Drosophila melanogaster: one gene and its partners. The protein of the gene in region 1 interacts with the protein of each later gene in a pairwise test. Each region holds a gene or a part of one and is shown on either strand. Other genes may lie near its edges.

The links.
Region 2: the proteins of CG13157 (region 1) and CG15126 interact in a two-hybrid assay, tested with the Drosophila melanogaster proteins (one large-scale study listed by BioGRID).
Region 3: the proteins of CG13157 (region 1) and Cpr47Ef interact in a two-hybrid assay, tested with the Drosophila melanogaster proteins (one large-scale study listed by BioGRID).

What each region holds. Positions count from the first base shown.
Region 1 is NT_033778.4:12,413,415-12,419,099, reverse strand, and holds CG13157 (uncharacterized protein), read right to left. Parts: upstream 3,057-5,685; 5' UTR 2,646-3,056; coding exon 2,228-2,645; intron 1,944-2,227; coding exon 958-1,943; 3' UTR 869-957; downstream 1-868. Other genes in the region: Cpr49Ah (cuticular protein 49Ah), read right to left, coding at 4,247-4,807, 5,027-5,038.
Region 2 is NT_033778.4:19,688,593-19,692,108, reverse strand, and holds CG15126 (uncharacterized protein), read right to left. Parts: upstream 1,312-3,516; 5' UTR 1,265-1,311; coding exon 1,103-1,264; 3' UTR 1,031-1,102; downstream 1-1,030.
Region 3 is NT_033778.4:11,266,046-11,275,011, forward strand, and holds Cpr47Ef (cuticular protein 47Ef), read right to left. Parts: upstream 6,531-8,966; 5' UTR 6,347-6,530; coding exon 6,332-6,346; intron 4,226-6,331; coding exon 3,505-4,225; intron 3,441-3,504; coding exon 3,315-3,440; intron 3,236-3,314; coding exon 3,197-3,235; intron 3,109-3,196; coding exon 3,076-3,108; intron 3,021-3,075; coding exon 2,955-3,020; intron 2,863-2,954; coding exon 2,758-2,862; intron 2,696-2,757; coding exon 2,663-2,695; intron 2,608-2,662; coding exon 2,551-2,607; intron 2,495-2,550; coding exon 2,354-2,494; intron 2,297-2,353; coding exon 2,240-2,296; intron 2,184-2,239; coding exon 2,151-2,183; intron 2,091-2,150; coding exon 2,034-2,090; intron 1,975-2,033; coding exon 1,942-1,974; intron 1,819-1,941; coding exon 1,753-1,818; intron 1,668-1,752; coding exon 1,623-1,667; intron 1,257-1,622; coding exon 1,045-1,256; 3' UTR 870-1,044; downstream 1-869. Other genes in the region: Cpr47Ee (cuticular protein 47Ee), read left to right, coding at 66-725; TpnC47D (troponin C at 47D), read right to left, coding at 8,069-8,097, 8,535-8,786, 8,845-8,966.

The DNA.
Region 1 (5,685 bases):
CTGTTTTAATAACAGCATTGCTTACTACTTTTCGAACTTTGTACTGATTAACAGGAAGGGCGCACTTATTGTCACTTTACAAGGACACTCTATTGCTCAGAGCCCGGCAGCCAACCCATAAATTTGAAAGTTCTTTCCCTTTTAAAACAATTTCACTTGGGTGAGAATGTGGCTGTCATAAATAAATGTAATCATAGTTTGGTTAGGCTTCTGGTAAGCTTAAAAATTAGTCTGGAATATATGTATATATTATACTAAAATCTAAAGCTGTTAAATATTTTCCCTACTTTCCGGTTCTAGGAGATTCTTTTTGCAAAGGTTTCTACAATTGATAATAATGTCGTTACTTTGATGCAATGCTGGCTTTCACAGTTAGGCATCATCTGATATGATCCAATCCAATAAATACATTATGTATATAAAAATAAATTTTGATTGATTCCATACACTCTGACGCTTGACTGATTAGATACGAACAATTCGTAGTAAGCATGATATGCATTCGATTAGATTCAATTTACTGCATTTTTGGATGGGTTATCTTTACACCTCGACTGGATGTCCTACCTAGTTATATAATTATTTCATTACAGTTCTACAACGAATAGTATTTTTCTATGAATGAAATTGTTAATCAAAAAATCCATAGAGATAAGGAATGCTTAAGAATTCATTATCTACATAAGTGCAGGTCGTTATCAGCTTTTGTTTACGCCTTCGACTAATCGACTAAAGGTAGGATACGAAAAAAGGTAGATTAGAGAGTTATTCTAAATTCATTGAAATATATGAAAAATATATTCTTCTTAGAGATAAACAAGTTGATGACCCATCAATTTCCACCCAAAATAAAAAAACAGCTGAAGTGAATTGTATGGGTTGGCTTAGGTTTAATTGTTAAGTAAGTGTAATTAGCGAATAGCCCCTGAGTTGTGTTAAGGTCAAGTGATACTAAATTTAAATACTATTTTCTCGCCGGAAGCTCCAAGCAATAACGAGGAGCACCGCGAGCGTGCCAAGTGATCTTTGCGGGGATCCGGCGCCGGAATCACTCGGTATAGCCACTTGGGTTGGCTGTATATCCATATCTGCATCTAGTATCTCCTGCTGCCTCGTCACCTGTTCTACCTGCGGACGAGCATGACCAGGACGTATCTCCACCTTGGGAAGGGGGAAGCAGTAGACCCTTTCGACCTCCACCAACTGGGGCACAATGCTGTCGGAGGAAAGCGAAGTTTCCGAGACGGTGAGAGGCACACATATGGTTGGCTCCTCAGAGGCATTTCGATCCTCGTAAGGAATGCCCACCCGGGTTATATTCAGCGGCACGGTCTCTGGAACACTCAGTTCGCTGTGCATCTGGGCGGAGTTTAGAGAATCCTCGTAGTACTTGTATTCGTCCACAGGATCAGAGACGCTCTCGTCGCGCCGGTCAATGCTCCCCTGAATGCTCCCATCTATCCTTTCGGTGCTCACCGTAAGGGATGTGCTATCGATGAAATCAGTGGGCCAATTCAATAGACCCGCAGTGGATCTAGTGGGCTGTGTGGGAACCGGTGGATGCACCACCGAGGATTGCATAAATCCTGGTACCACGGAGCTCGTTGCAGGTGGAGCTGGCATTGTGGTATCGTAAGGATACGGATACGGCAGGGGCAACCAGTTGTCGTCGGCGGAATTCTTGGAATTCCTTCGATTGTCCGTCGTCGTCTCCACGGACTCGTTGATCTGCTTGGATATTGCCTTCAATATGGGTTCCGAATCGTTGACCCTGGCCAACTCGAATTGTTGTGGCACCTGCTGAGTACTGATGCGCCGGCGTCCATATTTCTCTGCTGAACTTTCACGACTGACTGGTCGGGAATAGGCAGGATTCTGGTAGCCACCAGGGGCAATAGGAGCGGACAGCTCTTCGCTGGAACTTGATGGCTTGGCATCAATAGCTGCGGCATAGAAGTATTTGAGACATGAGCAAACAATTTCGAAACAGAGACCAAATTAAACGCTACATGAAGATCTTTTTAAAAAGATGTTTAGGTTTCAATATAGTTATCATTAATATAAATCAATAACATTAGAGATTAATAATTCAGGTTATTGAAAATATATTTAACCTATTAAATAAAAGACTAAGCAGACTTTAGTTTCATTAAATTCTAGCAGCGTTTGCTTGTTTTTAATGATACTTATATTAATAGGAAATTCACATTCGAAGTTGAATTCTTACCATCTGCCGGCAATCCCATGAGCATGGCTTCCAGGCGTCCGTAGACCCGCTCCTTGGGCTGCGGTTCCGAATCGATTTTCGTGTCCACCTTCTCGGGCCTCTCCGGATGCTCTGGCTTCCAGTTGCCGTACACCACCGCCTCCTGACTGGGCGTGGCCGGCAGGGGGGCGGTCTCCTCGCGCCACAGTGGAATGTGGGTGTGCACAGTGGAACTGATGGGGCCTGCAGCCGGCACAATTGGCCAGTTTCCCAATGCCTGAGCAGGTGCTCCGCCGACTGAAACGGGATTTTGCATATCCGCAATGCGTATACGCCCCCTGGGACGGGGAGGACCCTGCAGCTGCTGTGTGGCAATTAGCTGGCAGCCACTGAGGGCTATCAGCGACCACAGTAGACACTCTTTCCAATGACTAACCATATTTAAATTGAACACGTCTATCTTCTTTTTTTGCAGATGCTGTGCTACTTTTCAATTTTACAGTTCGTTTTTATAGGTTTATTGATTCATTCTCGTTTTCAGCAGCCACAATAACAATCTATTGTTTAATTTTTGGCTTCTGCTATTTTTTCTTTGACGTTGCTTCGATGTCAATGTAATATTCACATCTACAGTTCTTCACATCTTCACTTTTCTGTCGATCAACCACTTCACTTCCCCATTTCTTTTCACTCCCCACAAACAAATATTTGTATTATCGCTACCAGTTTTCGGTGTAACGCTCTTGCGAATTCGATCTTCAGCTTTCTTATAGATATTGTATATTGTAGAGGAAGTATCTCTTTTGCTGGCGATTTGCGATCTGCACGCGACGGCTTGTAAACGGCAACTGAGTTGGCCAAATCAATTCCAGCACCGCACAGGCCCACAAGAAAGATTCTTTCTAATCACGGGCCATAGAAATTTTCCTTTGTTCGGCTTCGTTATTATATGGTTTTTTTTTCGTCTTAATTATGCGCAAGAGCGTTGAAACTTAATGGCGAATAAACATTCTTCGGGGCCCCGCTTTCGGGGTCTGTTTCTACGGCGGTGGTGAAAATGCAGCGGATTTGATTTATATTCAGCTAGAAATAACCGCAGAGTATAGTCAGTGTGTTTACGTTATATGCAAATATGTTAGGTGGCCAAATCGTTTGCCGTTTTGTGGCCCAAAAGGTTATTCGGTTGTTTGTTCTTTCAACCTGATGACAGTGGTTTTTGGTTTCAATATTTGCGTAGCCAAGGGCTACTCCATTCGAAATGCCAAACGGTAAAGGTAGCCTACGTTAAATACAATAATTGGCAGAACGAAGAGGTTTCTCGGCGCGAAATCGGGGCTACGCCAGTAACCCATTCGTGGACCACTTCAACTGGCTTCCTCAGCCTTTCCACATGCAACGCCTGCCCGCGAAGACAAGTCGAATGGCACTGGAAAATCTGTCGTAATTATGCAACTGGCAACCAGTCGAGAGACTCCTCTCGAAAGAAAATTTCCATGGCGGCGATGTAGAAATATGGAAAATTGGAAAACCCAACCTGCATGGAATGGGATCAACAAACTAACGTAATTCGATCTGCGAAGTAAATAATAAAGCAACGAAAGATGCACGGTAAATGGGGAAATACTTTGAGAAAATAATGAGGACCCATAAACGCTTTGTCACGTTTGTCTGAACATCGTGGATATGGTCAGCTGTAAAACGGAAAAAAATAATGCCAGAAAATATGGTAAGTCCATCATCAAGTCGGTTCGGCATAATGGAAACGTTAGTTTACTTTTATTGTTTCAAAGCAGCGAAACTTTCACACTCGTTAATAAAATATTATTAATTTGATTGAGCGCCCCTGTCTGTTGGTTTTATGGTACTTAGTGGGAAATTCAAAAGTTATTAAACGATTATCATTCAGTGTGGTACAGCGATTTGGATTTGGAAGAGCTTGCAGAATGAAATCACAGTCTTGTTGTTGTTGATATAGAATGCGAAGAAGTTACGTTTCCAGGATCATCGGTTCGGTGGGGGAATGGAATGGGCGGAGCTCGTCTATTGGTTCTCCAGCAGACCGATGTACTGGCCATTCTGGTTGGCCACGCGTCGCTCCTCCAGTTTCCTCGCAAAGTCTGGATCTGTCTTGGCCCTCTGCTCCAGACGCTCCTGCTGCAGTTTAATGCCAGCGTAGATCTGATCCAAACCCTTCTGTATCTCCTCGGGAATAGCCGGCGGAGTAGGAATGTGATCACCTGTGGCCCTGAATCCATTCTCGTCGGCCGTGTACTGCACATTGACCAGAGTTCCCTCGGGGGATTGGTAGGAGTACTGGCCATGCTGAACCAACACCCCATTTGGATTGGTGTCGAAGTCCTTGAGGAAACCGGTTTCCTCATGAATGATGCTATTGCCCGTCTCGTATTCTGTCTTGTAGCTTCCATCGTCACTCTGCTCCTTGTTGTACTTGATTATGGGTATCCAGGTGCTGGTCTCTCTGTGATCTTCATGACGATGATGATCTGGTTTGTCATCGCGTGGTATGTTGTTCACATTTTGGTGCTGATGTTGATGGTGGTGTTGTCCTTGGCAGGAAATGGCCAACAGCACAAGAAGTATCTGAAAGGATAAATATTAGCTTAAGCTTACTAACACATGCAAGTCATTACGATTTCCAAACAAAGTAATCACAAAAAAGAATATTTAATCCTATCCTTTAGATGTAATGTAAACCAATAAATTTTATATTTGAGAAGATCGAACTGTTGCAATGTTTGCCAATCATTCATCGAGAATCACTTGACCGATTTTATGTGATTGGTTATGTGAACCACTTACGAGCACTTTCATTTCGCAAGGAGTCTCTGCCGCTTATCCACTGTATTCCACTGATTTGGCCCGCTTTGTCGCCCGTTTGGCTGGCACTGATCGCACTGGCTAGTGAAAGCAGCTCCGTTAGACACTGTGCCAAGCGCGGCCCTATTTTGGTCTTATATAGGCGATTCGCTCTGCTCCGACCCGATCCGATCCTCCTGTTGCACTCGTGTCCATACCCACACAGGTGAGCCTCCATGGGAGAGCGTGCATTTGCTATTTCTGCTGGTGATGGAGTTTCTAATGGAGATGAAGTTGCAGATGGATATGCAGTTGCAGTTGCCGATGAAGATGGGAGGGGATGGGAGTGGAAGTGGAATTTGCCATGGAAGCTCTTATTTTTTGTTAGCTGTCTGATCCGACCGATCGGTAATTGTTGTTCGTAGGCTCGACGACGCTTAAATGCTAAAATCGTAAAAAAAAAAACAATTCACTGTCGCTCTCGTTTGAGGCTTTTTCAGAGGCTGAGGCAGTATGATTTTAAAAGGAATCCAGAACTATGACAAACTATAAGGATAAAGCTAACATTCCATAATAATTTTGGATTAATAATTTGTGTTCGCCTTTTGTAAAATTTGATACCGTCATTATTATATAATGAAAAAAAAACGAAAAAATTGCAA
Region 2 (3,516 bases), 7.3 Mb from region 1:
ACTGTGCCAGGAAAATCTCAATTTATCGGTACTCTCAGTTTTCAGCTATAACTTGGATTTTTGTCTCTTTAATGCTCTCTTTTTTCACCAGCTGATGGCCCGAAGTTATGGCTAACATCGCGCCTCTGTCGCCCAAAAGCGTGCTTCGGTTTTTCCTTTTAGGTTTTCCCTTGGCTGTTTTCCGCTGCCTTTCGTGAAAATGCCTTGGGTTGAGTTGAGTTTTTGGGTTCGAGGTTTAAGGTTGGGGATTTTTCGGGGTTGGGTGACCGGGAGCAGCGACTCTTTGTTGCTTTTGTTGGCACTCTGCTGCCGCTCCTGCTCCTCCTACTGCTTTCAATTCAATTTTTCGCCAGCTGTTGTGCTTAATTTGAACTTTAAGCATTTTCCTTGTTGTTGTTTGGGAATTTCCGGCTTTAATGCGGCATTTCTGCGGCTGGGCGACGAAAACAACTCAATGTGAATCGGAAAATGGAGAATAGGGAACCGATTTCGTAGCGTTAAGAAGTCCTTTGTGGGTCAACCAGTCAGCCTTTTAACCGCTAATGAAGACTTATTTCGCAGCACAGCAAAGGCAATGCACTTATTTATGGTTAGGCCGTAGTATTTCCCATCCGAAATATGGACCGGTTGACAGTATAAATAATGTGTTCCTTTGCCAGAATTTATGGCACTTGTATGTCTTCTGGTCTTCGGCATCCACTTGGCTGCTATAAATTAGAGCCACCGACCAGTCCGACCTTAAATGTGAAGTGCGTGTGTGTATGGCTACAGGATCTCCACCTCCAACCACATCCATCCACTCCCCCTCAAATACGCACACACACACACACACACACGCATTCCCGACACGCAACAAAACACACAGATACCATTGGTACACTTGTATTATGGCAGCGGCTTTTGAGGTTTTAAAGCGTTTTGAGGTGACACATAATGATTAGCCAGCCATTAATTGCTTAGCACTCGAGGCACTCGATTACACTAATTAGGCGTCTTATTAACCTTAAACACATACACAGTTACAGAACTCCTTCGGGGCATTCGTATTTATTACGTGAGGGTTCTTAAAACTACAATCTTTAATAAATTCCTTTATAAATTCTTATGAAATTGTGCAGCAAAGGCAGCAGGGACGAGGTCCGTGGTGATGATGGGGCGGTCCATGGTGATGTGGCGGTCCATGGTGGCCTCCATGATGCGGGGGTCCGCCATGATGCGGTCCTCCATGTCCATGGCCTCCGGGTCCTCCGTGTGGTGGTGGCATTATTCAGATATTTTTGCAAACTTTGAAAACCGTGCGGTTGGGTCCAACTCTTATAGGCAACTAAATCCATATTGTCAGGGTAAATCTAATCAAGACCTGCCTCATAAAGATAAGTACTATCTAATCTGTATAGTATTGCTTGCTAATCGATAGAAGTGTTAGTTAGCACAAACATGGGAATATTATGATGACCATGGCGATGAGTAAGGCCTTGTAAATGCTGAATTAGTCATGACAAATAAAATGAGGAAAACCCCTCTAAGGTCTCCTTCTGAGATAGCCATATGTACAATTTTTTTTTGCTTCTAGTTTTTAAGTGATAAGATTAAGCTTCCAAAATTATAAAAAGTACACTACCGCTGGGACTTTGTGAAATGTGCATTTTCTCTATTGTACACTTAAAATTTAATAATAATTCAAAATAACATAACCCAAGAGATAACAAATGTAACTTTCATTGGTAATCTATTCCAAGGTATTTCCGATTTTCTAAAAGGTTTGTTGGTAAATCGATAAGATAATGGCTTTCAAATTTTGCGGAATTATGTGCTTATAAGACCGCCCAATCGATCAACATTATTCTATGGAAATTCAAATACGAATTCGAATGTTCTTAGAATACACGACTTATTGGCTTTCTTCTGAAACCGAAACTCCATTTGTACTTTATTTACTGCCCTTGCCAATGAAGGCAATAGTACTTAATAATTGTAGAATACGAACTTTCCACCAATCTGATTTTGTCAATTTGCCATTGAGATTGCTATAGTGCATATATAGTTCATGCGAGTGGAGCAACTTGATTTTAATTCCTGATAAAGAAAAGGCAGCCGTGGCCATGTAACTATTTACTTTCCCCATGACATGACCCAGAAAAGTATGGCGAAAATTCGCCAAGCCAAGTGCAGGCACATTCGGCAAGAAAACGGATGGAGCAAGACCAATGGCTTGGCTTTTTGAATTCAATTAATTTTATCTGCATCAGTTTTCCCTTATAATCGCATCCCAGGGCTGCTCACATGCGAAACGGAAAACGGCTAAAGGACTGAAGGACGAAAGGACGCTTACTCGAAAAAAGGACCGCAACTCGTAAAATATATAAAGTCATTGCAAAAGCCAATTTGTATATCAGCGTTGGCGGCTGAGGCCCGGCGATTATCAAACTGCGAAACTTACTTAAAATGCCCTCAAAAGGGGGTTTCCCTTGCCAAATGGAACGGTGAAGGGGAGTTGGCCCTGCTTTCATGGTAACAATTACATTTCACAGATTTTCGTTTGGGGTCGCGTGTGCCGTTGCATGTTGTTGGTGCGGTCGCATTCGCGTCCGCTTTTCGCGTTCTTTATTTCGGGCTTAAAGGAGCTTACATTATCGCCGGGTTGGCAAAAGGCAAAACCCACACACCGGCAGGCGAATTTCCACTGGCTGATGGGCGACGTCTAAATATGAGAATGTTGTGTGAAAATGTTTAAAATCCACGCGAGCCTCTCCGAGCGCAAATGCTTAGCACGCCATAAGTGTCAGCCAGCCATGATTGCCTGCGGTTTTCCCAGTGTATTTTCCCGTCTGTTCTATATGTGGATACAGTTGCGGTTACATAAATAGTGCTAGATCTATATAATATGTTTTGTAAACAAAATGGTTCGGTTTTTACCCTAAGACTTATGGTATTTATTAGTTTTGTTTTGTTAGTTATTTTTGGCTACAATACATTTCATAATACTTAATAACTTTTTAATTGTGGTTCATATTCGCGTTATACTTTTTTTTTGGTTTTTTTTTAACTATTATAAAAACTACTATTAAACTGATCGCGGCTGTAAATGTGTGGGTTTTATTCCTTTGGCCAAGGAGTGGCCACTTTTGCATACCTCCCCCTGAAAATAGCGTGGCGGGCGCTAAGAAAGGAAGTAAATAGTGGAAAAGGCATAAATAATAGCAAATAATACGGCGACAATGCGCACAAATTTGCCGCTAAAGTGTAGTCATTGTCGAGGAAAAAAAAGTAGAAAAAAAAATTAGAAAAGGAGTCCTGTGCGTGAGCTAAGCCACAGGACCTGCCTTTGCTTTTTGCATGATTTCGCTGTTTAAATTTATTACACATTAGATTTATGATCGCGTTGAGTTGCCCCTACTTCCCGCAACACTCCTCACTGCTTATCACTGCCCTTTGTGGTGGCTTTAATTTCATTGTTACAACTTCTATTTGAACTGAGTGTGAAGCATAATTTATAGGTGACCGTGTGGCGAGTGT
Region 3 (8,966 bases), 1.1 Mb from region 1:
AACTAAAAAATTCGTATCATGCTTTTGGGTGCTATTTGTCAACAACTTTATTTGCCATTGAACAGGTGATTCAGGGATCCTACTCGTACACCTCACCGGAGGGCACACCCATCACAGTGCGCTACATCGCCGATGAGAACGGATTTCGAGCGGAGGGCACGGGGATTCCATCTAGCCCTCAATATTTCGCAGGTGCCCAGCCCTATCAACAGGGCTTGCTCAATCCCAATTTGAATCCATACCAGACGCCCTTCCGCCAGCTGCCACCCCCACTGCCCAACGCCCCCTTTCGTCCCCAGCTTCCAGGACAACAGCCGCTCACTCCACTGCAGCAACAGCAGCAGCAACAGCAACAACAGTTGCAACAGCAACGCGGTTTCCAGCAGCAGCAGCAGCCAAACTCCGGGCAATATCAACCGGAACAGCCGTTCAATCAGTTGCATTCCGGCAACTTACCCGGTCAGTATGCCGGACAATTTGGCCAGCAATCGTTTGGCAGCAATCTTACTGCACAACAGGCACAACAGCAGCAGAATCTCAACCAGCAACAGCAGCAGCAGCAGCAACAACAGCAGCAGCAGCAACAGCAGCAGAAGGAGCAGCAAAACGAGCAGCAGCAACAGGCCCTAATCACCCAACAACTGAGGGGCAGACCGAACAACCTGGTGGATCCATATGGCTATAATCAGTACGGCAGACGCTTCAAGAAGTCCCCAAAGAAATAACGACAAATTAATGTCATTTAAATGATTGATTAGTTTGAAGATGTAGTCGCAACTCAAAGGCATGAAATACATGCATCTGAAAAGTCAAGCAGTTTGTTTCAATTTCCGCAGCTTACGCGGCGCAAAATGATAAGCAAATATTTTATAATAATCATTTATTTCGATAGTTGCACACACACATTGTCAGAGTGGAAGAGGGAGGTAAGCTTATATAAATAAATTAATTGTTTTAGCGAAAGAACATTGAGGGCAGCCTGCACGGAAATGACGTTTCTTCGATTTGAGAGATTTGATTGGCGTTTTGGAATAAATTCTGATTTTAGTAGCTATAGCCCGTCTGAGGATTGAACTCTCCGTTTCCACGACCTCCGCCCGGCGCTCCCGGAGCAGGTGGAATGTACTGTGATCCTGTGCCGGGAACTCCTCCCGATCCTGGTCTGCCTGGCGAGCCGGGTGCTCCGCCACCAGCCGCTGGTGGAACATACTGATTGCCGGGCAATCCTGGTCCGCCTGGACGTCCACCGGCGCCTCCTAGATAAAAAATGGAAACAATCGCGATTAGAGTGGCATTAAATTTATGTAAACCCTCTTTGATTAGTTGTAATTATTTAAAGCAGTCTTTAAAATTATTATAATCTAGCGACTTCAAAGAGACCGCGTGCAAGCCGAAATGTTTTATGCATGAAAGATCGTTAGTCGATCGTGGGTAAAACAATAGACCAAGGCTTTGCCAAACAAGAATTGTCAAAATAAAAAAACTGAAATGTGTGGGAATAGCACTTGTCTAGTGTAGCTCTTCACATCATTTTCTCATGAAGATGAATGAGGCTAATTCAAGTTTTACAATTGCAATCACACAGATTGTAAAACCGGGTTTATAACTATAATGCTTCTTACCCGGTCCACCGGCACCTCCTCCATAACCTGGACCGCCTGGAGATCCTACATTAAAAAATGTAAATACCATCTATATGTTGTGACAAATTGGGAGAGTGACCTCTTCATCACAAAAACCAATGTTACTCACCGGGTCCACCGGGTGCTCCTCCAGCTCCACCGCGACCACCGCCGGCGCCAAAGCCACCACCACCTCCTAAAAAATAAATATTACTTTAATTATTATAATATTTATAACACAGTTTAACAAGTAGTCGGAAACTTGAAGAATTTCGTAAGTTTTGTGGAATGCACAGTGTACTGTTACTAAGTTACTAACCTTGGCCTCCGAATCCTCCTCCTCCGGGAGAGCCTGCGAAACACGAATGGTATGTTTTTAAAGCCACTAGGCAGATATTAAAATCGACTTACCAGGAGCTCCAGGAGCACCACCACGACCGGCGCCGCCTCCGTATCCGCCACCCCCACCTACAAGATGAAGATGTTTTACTTAAGACCTGCAACTGGAATATTGTTTTGCTAACTAACCTTGACCGCCAAATCCTCCTCCACCAGGCGATCCTATTAATTAATAATTCCTTATTTTCAGTAACAAACAATTTATGTTTTGTACTCACCTGGAGCTCCTGGGGCACCTCCACGACCACCACCTCCTCCGAATCCGCCACCACCTCCTACAAGATGAATGTATTATTCGAGGTGAATGTGCAGTAAGTTTTAAAATCCCTTACCTTGACCTCCGAATCCGCCACCACCTGGGGATCCTGGTGCTCCTGGCGCACCTGGTGCTCCACCACCACCGCGACCGCCGCCGCCTCCATAGCCGCCGCCAGCACCTCCCTGGCCACCATATCCGCCTCCGCCTGGTGATCCTGAAAATAAGCAATGTGTTATCTATTATATAAAGTGAATGAAATCATGAACTCACCGGGAGCGCCAGGAGCACCGCCGCGTCCGCCGCCACCTCCGAATCCTCCGCCTCCACCTGGAAAGTGTATATAGTTTTAACTTGAACCGCAAAGTCAGGCGGGATCACTTACCTTGACCTCCGAAACCTCCACCGCCAGGTGATCCTTTAGTTGAAGTAAGTTATTAGTTTTGAGTATCTATGGAGTAACACTTTTCGTTAACTTACCGGGAGCTCCTGGTGCTCCGCCACCGCCGCGTCCTCCGCCGCCGCCACCACCATAACCGCCGCCAGCACCTCCTTGACCACCAAATCCGCCGCCGCCAGGTGATCCTGAAATATATGAAAATAAATATAAATTCATGAAGTGAATTAAGACGGATTTTCTTTAGGAACAATAAATTTCATCTAGAAAAAGGACTTACCAGGACCTCCTGGGGAACCACCACGACCAGCTCCGCCACCAGCTCCTCCATAGCCTCCTCCACCTCCTAAAAAATAAATAGTATTTTAGATCCATGTGTAAGCCGTTGGAACATAACTTACCTTGACCTCCGAATCCGCCTCCACCTGGCGCACCTAAAGAAGCAAACGAATCGATAAAGTATTAAATTAATCTAATAGGGGTTAACATTTTTAAAAATTGTATAAATAAATCAGTCGTTACCTGGACCTCCTGGTGCTCCTCCACGACCACTGCCGCCTCCTAAAAATAATCAAAGTTAAAGTCAAAAAAGACTAAAAAAAGAAAAAGGGTCAAAATGTGACTTGAATTCGTATCTTACCTGATCCATATCCACCGCCACCTCCTGCTCCACCTCCGCCTCCACCGGATCCTCCTCCTGCGCCGCCGCCTCCAAATCCGGATCCGCCTCCATATCCCGAACCACCGCCTCCGCCGCCACCTGCTCCTGCAATCAAAAGTGAGCAATGAAATGGAATGTTAATCCATTGATTTATTTTGTAGAAACTTACCCTGTCCTCCAGGACCGCCACTGTATCCACCACCCGGCAGTATGGAGATGCCCTGGGCAGCCAGAGATTTGGCTATCGCTTCCGGAATGGGCGGTGGAGTGGGCAGGGCGTTGCCCGAGGGCACAAAGCCATTCTCATCCGCCGTGTACATGATCTCGACGAGTTCACCTTCGGGATTTGTGTAGGAGTATGAGCCCATCACGGATGGGATTTCATTCTCAGATCCCTTGTTCTTAACGGTGCCCTCCTCCTGGGCCTTTATACCATTTCCAGTCTCGTAGCTGAAACGGTAGTTGCCATCGCCGTCGTTCTCGTTGACAAATGAGAGGATCGGAATGGGAGGTCCAGAAGTTGGTGGCGCGCCACCTGACGGACTGGGGCGTGGAGCGGGTGCTCCGCCGCCTCCGCCGCCGCCGCCAGGTGCAATGGGTCTTCCGTTTGCGAAGCCACCAAGTCCGTTATTACCACCACCAAAGCCACCAGCACCGCCACCGCCTGGTCCTCCACCGAAGCCGCCAGCTGGTCCGCCACCGCCGCCTCCTCCATAACCTCCACCCGCTCCGCCGCCACCGAATCCTCCACCTCCGCCGAAGCCACCTCCTGGGCCCTGAAGCCCTGCTCCCGGACTGCCGCCCGCACTGGCCGCACTTGCAGGTGGGGGCAGGTATTTGTTATCCAGCTTGGCTGCTTGGGCAACCACCAGCGTCGTGATCACCAGAGCCTGAAAAAGATCGTTGCAGGTAGGGATTGCCCGGTAAGTTCACAAATTTATGCAAGCACATGGAAAGTTCATGCGAATCCAGCATCTTCCATCGCGATCCACGTTCTCAATTTGGCCTGAAGCGAATCTTTGGCGTGTTGACTTATTTGATTGCAAAATAAATGCCAGTGAAAAATCGCAGGGGTGGCTAATTGTTTAAAATTTAACTTCATTAACTGCGGCTAATTCATAAATCTGAAGATAACATGAAAAAAGGCTGCTAAATGTAATGAAATAGTCATTTAACGACCGCCATAAAAAGTGTTATTCGAATAAACTTTTGTTGCTTGAGCACAAGGACGTATTTAAACTTAAAATAATGTTAAGCGTCTGAAAATTATTATTTTCGAATTATTCGTATTAAGAAATACTTTTAAACGATTTTTAATGTCTTACTAACATTATGTCATTTTTTACAACTGTACTTTACTCATGATAGCATTTTGGTAATTATTTGTAATAAATGTGTATTTTAAGTTAAACAGCAATGGTTCGTTCCAAAAATAAACGATAAGCTTTTTCCAAACTTCAAATTACAAGAAGAACCTTGAATTGTTTCTGCTGTTAATTAAGCCCTGATACACATCTCGGCCAAGTGGGTATCATGACCCCGCCGCTGGGAACCTCCAAAGGGGTCAAGAGTGTGGCCAAATGTCGGCCATTTCATCAATGAAGCATTTGTCCATTGACAGAACGACGCAATCCGATCCGCTCACGTTTTCCATTGTTGCAACCGATCGTCGTCGCCCATTAAGGCTGCAAGTGCAGCGGGGACTCTTGACTATAGTATCAACATCGGGCTGGCTCATCATTGTCTCAGCCTGAGGCGAACTATGATATTTATGGACTTCTTGTTAGACAGAAGACGTCTGAAGATGCAGCAGCGTGTGAACCGAGAGTGCCACAGAGAATTGCTGGCTGGGAAGGTTGGCTAAGCGGAGCGGACCAGCGAGTGTCAAGTTGAAGTTTAAACCGTTTACGAATTCCATTGGGCCATAAACCTAACAGCTCCATCGATTGGCACGATGATGAGCTCACTTGTCGCCACAGCCGGGCAGTGTAATAATGTAATATTGTGGAAATTCTGACATTTGCCACACTGACTCATCCGGCGACTGTGGCACATGCAACCGAAACAAGCAACGCCTGCCCCTTGGGCCGGAATATCTTGAGGAGTCTGTGAGAGCCTCTTGGAGTTCGTGACCACCTAGCAGACATCTTCGACAGCGTTTCGCAACCGCAAATATAATTGCGGTTATTGCAAATGGGCTGCCAATTGGGTCGCCACTGCTTCCATTTCGATGATCTGCTTTGGAGGCGGGGCGGATCGGCCACGACCAAACCATCTTGGGCAACTTTGCGTGCCATCCACCATCTCCGATTGCAAATGGGCTGTTAATTTATGCGTTTCACGGGGATTACTCGATCTTTTCAAGACAATCGGATATGCTAAGTGCAATGGGGAAACCCTTGGCTGTGCTAAAATATCCAAGATGGGACACTCCAGTGGCCTATTGTTTAGGCATGTTCTTTTTCGCGGAATTTTATGAGTTGCCAAGTTGAGATTAAATAATTAACTAAATCAAAGTTTCCTGAAAAGTTATAAACTCTTGATGAATAAGAATATTCCTATGCCAATTTAATACAGATTTCTGATGAGACAATTCCCTAGACTAAAATAATTGAATGTCTTTATTCTAAGGTAAAATTCGTAACTTTACTTTCATTTAAATTAAATTGGGTAATGAAATCAATTTAATTAAATTTGAAGCATTAAGATCTTTGCATTCGAATGTAAAATGTAAAAATGTAATGAATGTAAAAAATCCGAAAAGAATAAAAACGGAAAATATGAATATAAATATGAATATTATATTCAAACATTGAAATATATTTTTGAATCTAGGTCATTATCTCAAGAAGGATACTTTTCGGGAAAAATTAGTAAAGCTCTACAATAATTTCTAACCACAACAGCATATGGAGTTTCAAAGGACTCTTCATTAGAACACTTGGATCTTTTGAATTTTCTAACCCAAAGTTACTTTCCTCTTTCACTGAACTTACCCACTTAAGAGCCATGACAGCAATCTTTTGATTGTTTCGATCGAGGATTAAGAAGAAGAATCCTTGGCGCACCCACAATTTATCCACTGCTTAATTTATCCACAAAGCTGGGTTAATCCACGTAAGTCCTTTGCCGCACCAGCGATGCAGTGCCTCCGCGTGTCGTGTTGTGGCTCCTCGAATGTCACGGTACTTGTGTGCCGATCGCAGCCCAAGTTCTCCAGCTTTTATACTTGGTTTGGCGCCAAATGCAATCAAATGGAATGGAATGAACGAAAACTGCAGCCGGAGCTTGCCGCTTGCAGCTTGGAGCTCGGTGCTGAGCGAGTGCTGAGATTTTGATACTTTATGGCATTTATTGCAATCGTGTGCAGCTGTGGTGGTGATGGTGGTGGTGCTAGCTGAGGCTCCGTCCCCAGCTGGGGCAGAAAACAATCGCACGAAAAAGGGAGGAGGAGGTGGTGGTGCCCCCGCATCCTCATCCGCAAGCCCATGCATTTTGACTATTGTCTCAACGGCGGCATCTCGTTTACTCAATGTACCTTGTCTTGTTAAACAAACGCTCTCAGCCACATCTCTCCTCGGTTAGTGGGTAAAAATTAGCAAGCAAGCAACTGCTGCTGGTGGTGCTCGTAAATTGGAATCCAATCGAAACGCTCAACGCTCGAGCGCATCATCATCATTCAGCTTCATCTCCATTGAATTGCACGTTTGGGAAACCGTTTTAATGCGCTCGGTGTCAAGAATCGCATATTGAGAAGTCTGCCCAGGCGGATGTCAATAAATCTGACACCCAACACAATCCGCCACATTTTCAGCTCTTTCACAGGGCGTCCAGGTCCAGTCTGTGACCTTTCACCTAATGATTGGGTAAAAACTGAAAACTGGATTCGAAGCGGTAATAAATACCACTAATATCGACACCCTCCGGCCGAAAGACTAAGCATTGCGCAAAACAAGTTGCTCCACTTGGTGGCAACATCCAAACCCCAACCCATCCACATCGATCTGCCCCAAGCCCCTTCTCCTTTTTTTTCGCTAACTTTTCAGAAAGGGCAGTTGCTTCTTTTCGCTGAATTTGGGAAAACAAACTCACTGCATGTCGCGGCGGCCAAGTTTAGCGTAAATGCTTGACATCTTTTGGCAACAAGGAGAATGCTCATTGACATTTGCCAGCCTGCATGCATAGCTATGATATACTACATTGGCTGTTTGGAAAGGCAAAAATCTAGCAGGTTGTCAGTGGGCCTTATTCTGCTTGGGATGGTCACAGCTGTGCGGACCAGAACGCCAGTCAAGTGGCAAACGGAATGTGCACGCACTGCCGCAAGTAATAGCGGAAAGATTGAAACAAAGAACTCCGCATGCATCTGGCCACGTTGCGTATGCGCAACATGCATCACTCATACGCCGAATGGCCTTGCCAAATTAACACACAAATGAGCAGAGCGGCCACGCCCACTCCCAGCCCATTGCACAAACATTGAAATTTAATAATAATCCGCACGCCAGAGGGTGGCAATTGGCAATTAAGATGACTCAACTCGGATGCAGATGCACTGCAGCCATAGAATGTTTGCCGCGCTTTGGGTTTTTCTACTCAATCGGTTCCTGAACGAGCGGATTATTTATAGCGTAATTATGATTACTCAATCGTAGAAATAAAATACAAAACGTTTATTCAAGCCTCGGGTGTTGGGGGGTAGACAATTATGAGATACGTTGGGTCCACAATGCTTACTCGCCAGTCATCATCTCCATGAATTCTGGAAATTAAATACAAAATAATATTAATTATTATTATTGTTGATAACTAAAATATGGTTTGTGTACTAATACAAGTGGAAATTGGACCAAAACCTCATAATACAAATTTGTTTCTTTTTAAACTGGTACACCAATCGGAACAATTATAAAAGGCGGAAAATATGGACGGATTTTGTTTTAGGAATAGTGAAATGCCCCTTAGAATCTGGGGCAAAGTGATCTGCTTGTTTCTGTGTAAAGATCTAAAGAACTATAAATAAAGCACCACAAGGGCGTCTCCCCTCGTTGGTGGGATGGTGGTGTTAGTGGGGAGGGGTAGGGGTTCTCCACCGCAACAAATTGATATAATTTGTGTGGAAAATACCATGGCAGCGCGCCAAGGAATCCAAGATCTTTATAGCCCGACTGACGGCGGCTAATTGGTCCGCGCACTTACCATCAAAATCAACGGTGCCAGAGCCGTCGGAATCGATTTCCTCAATCATGATGTCGAGCTCCTGTTCGGTCAGCTGGTCGTCCAGTTCCTTGAGGATCTCCTTCAGGCAGGAGGTGGGAATGTAGCCATTGCCCTGCTTGTCGTACAGACGGAAAGCCTCGCGCAGCTCCTTCTGCATGGCCTCATCATCCTCCTCTACGATGAACTTGGCAGCCAGCTGGACGAACTCCTCGAACTCCAGGCGACCGGATTCTGCAGAAGAATCGAGGATTAGTTTGGGCACCCGGCAATATAGGCTGCGAACACTTACTGTCCTCATCGACCTCGTCGATCAGCTCGTCAAGGATCTGCCTGTCGAAGGGCTGACCCATAAGACGGAGGATATCGGCCACCATTTCGGTGGGGATACTGCCGGTCTTCTGGTGGTCGAAG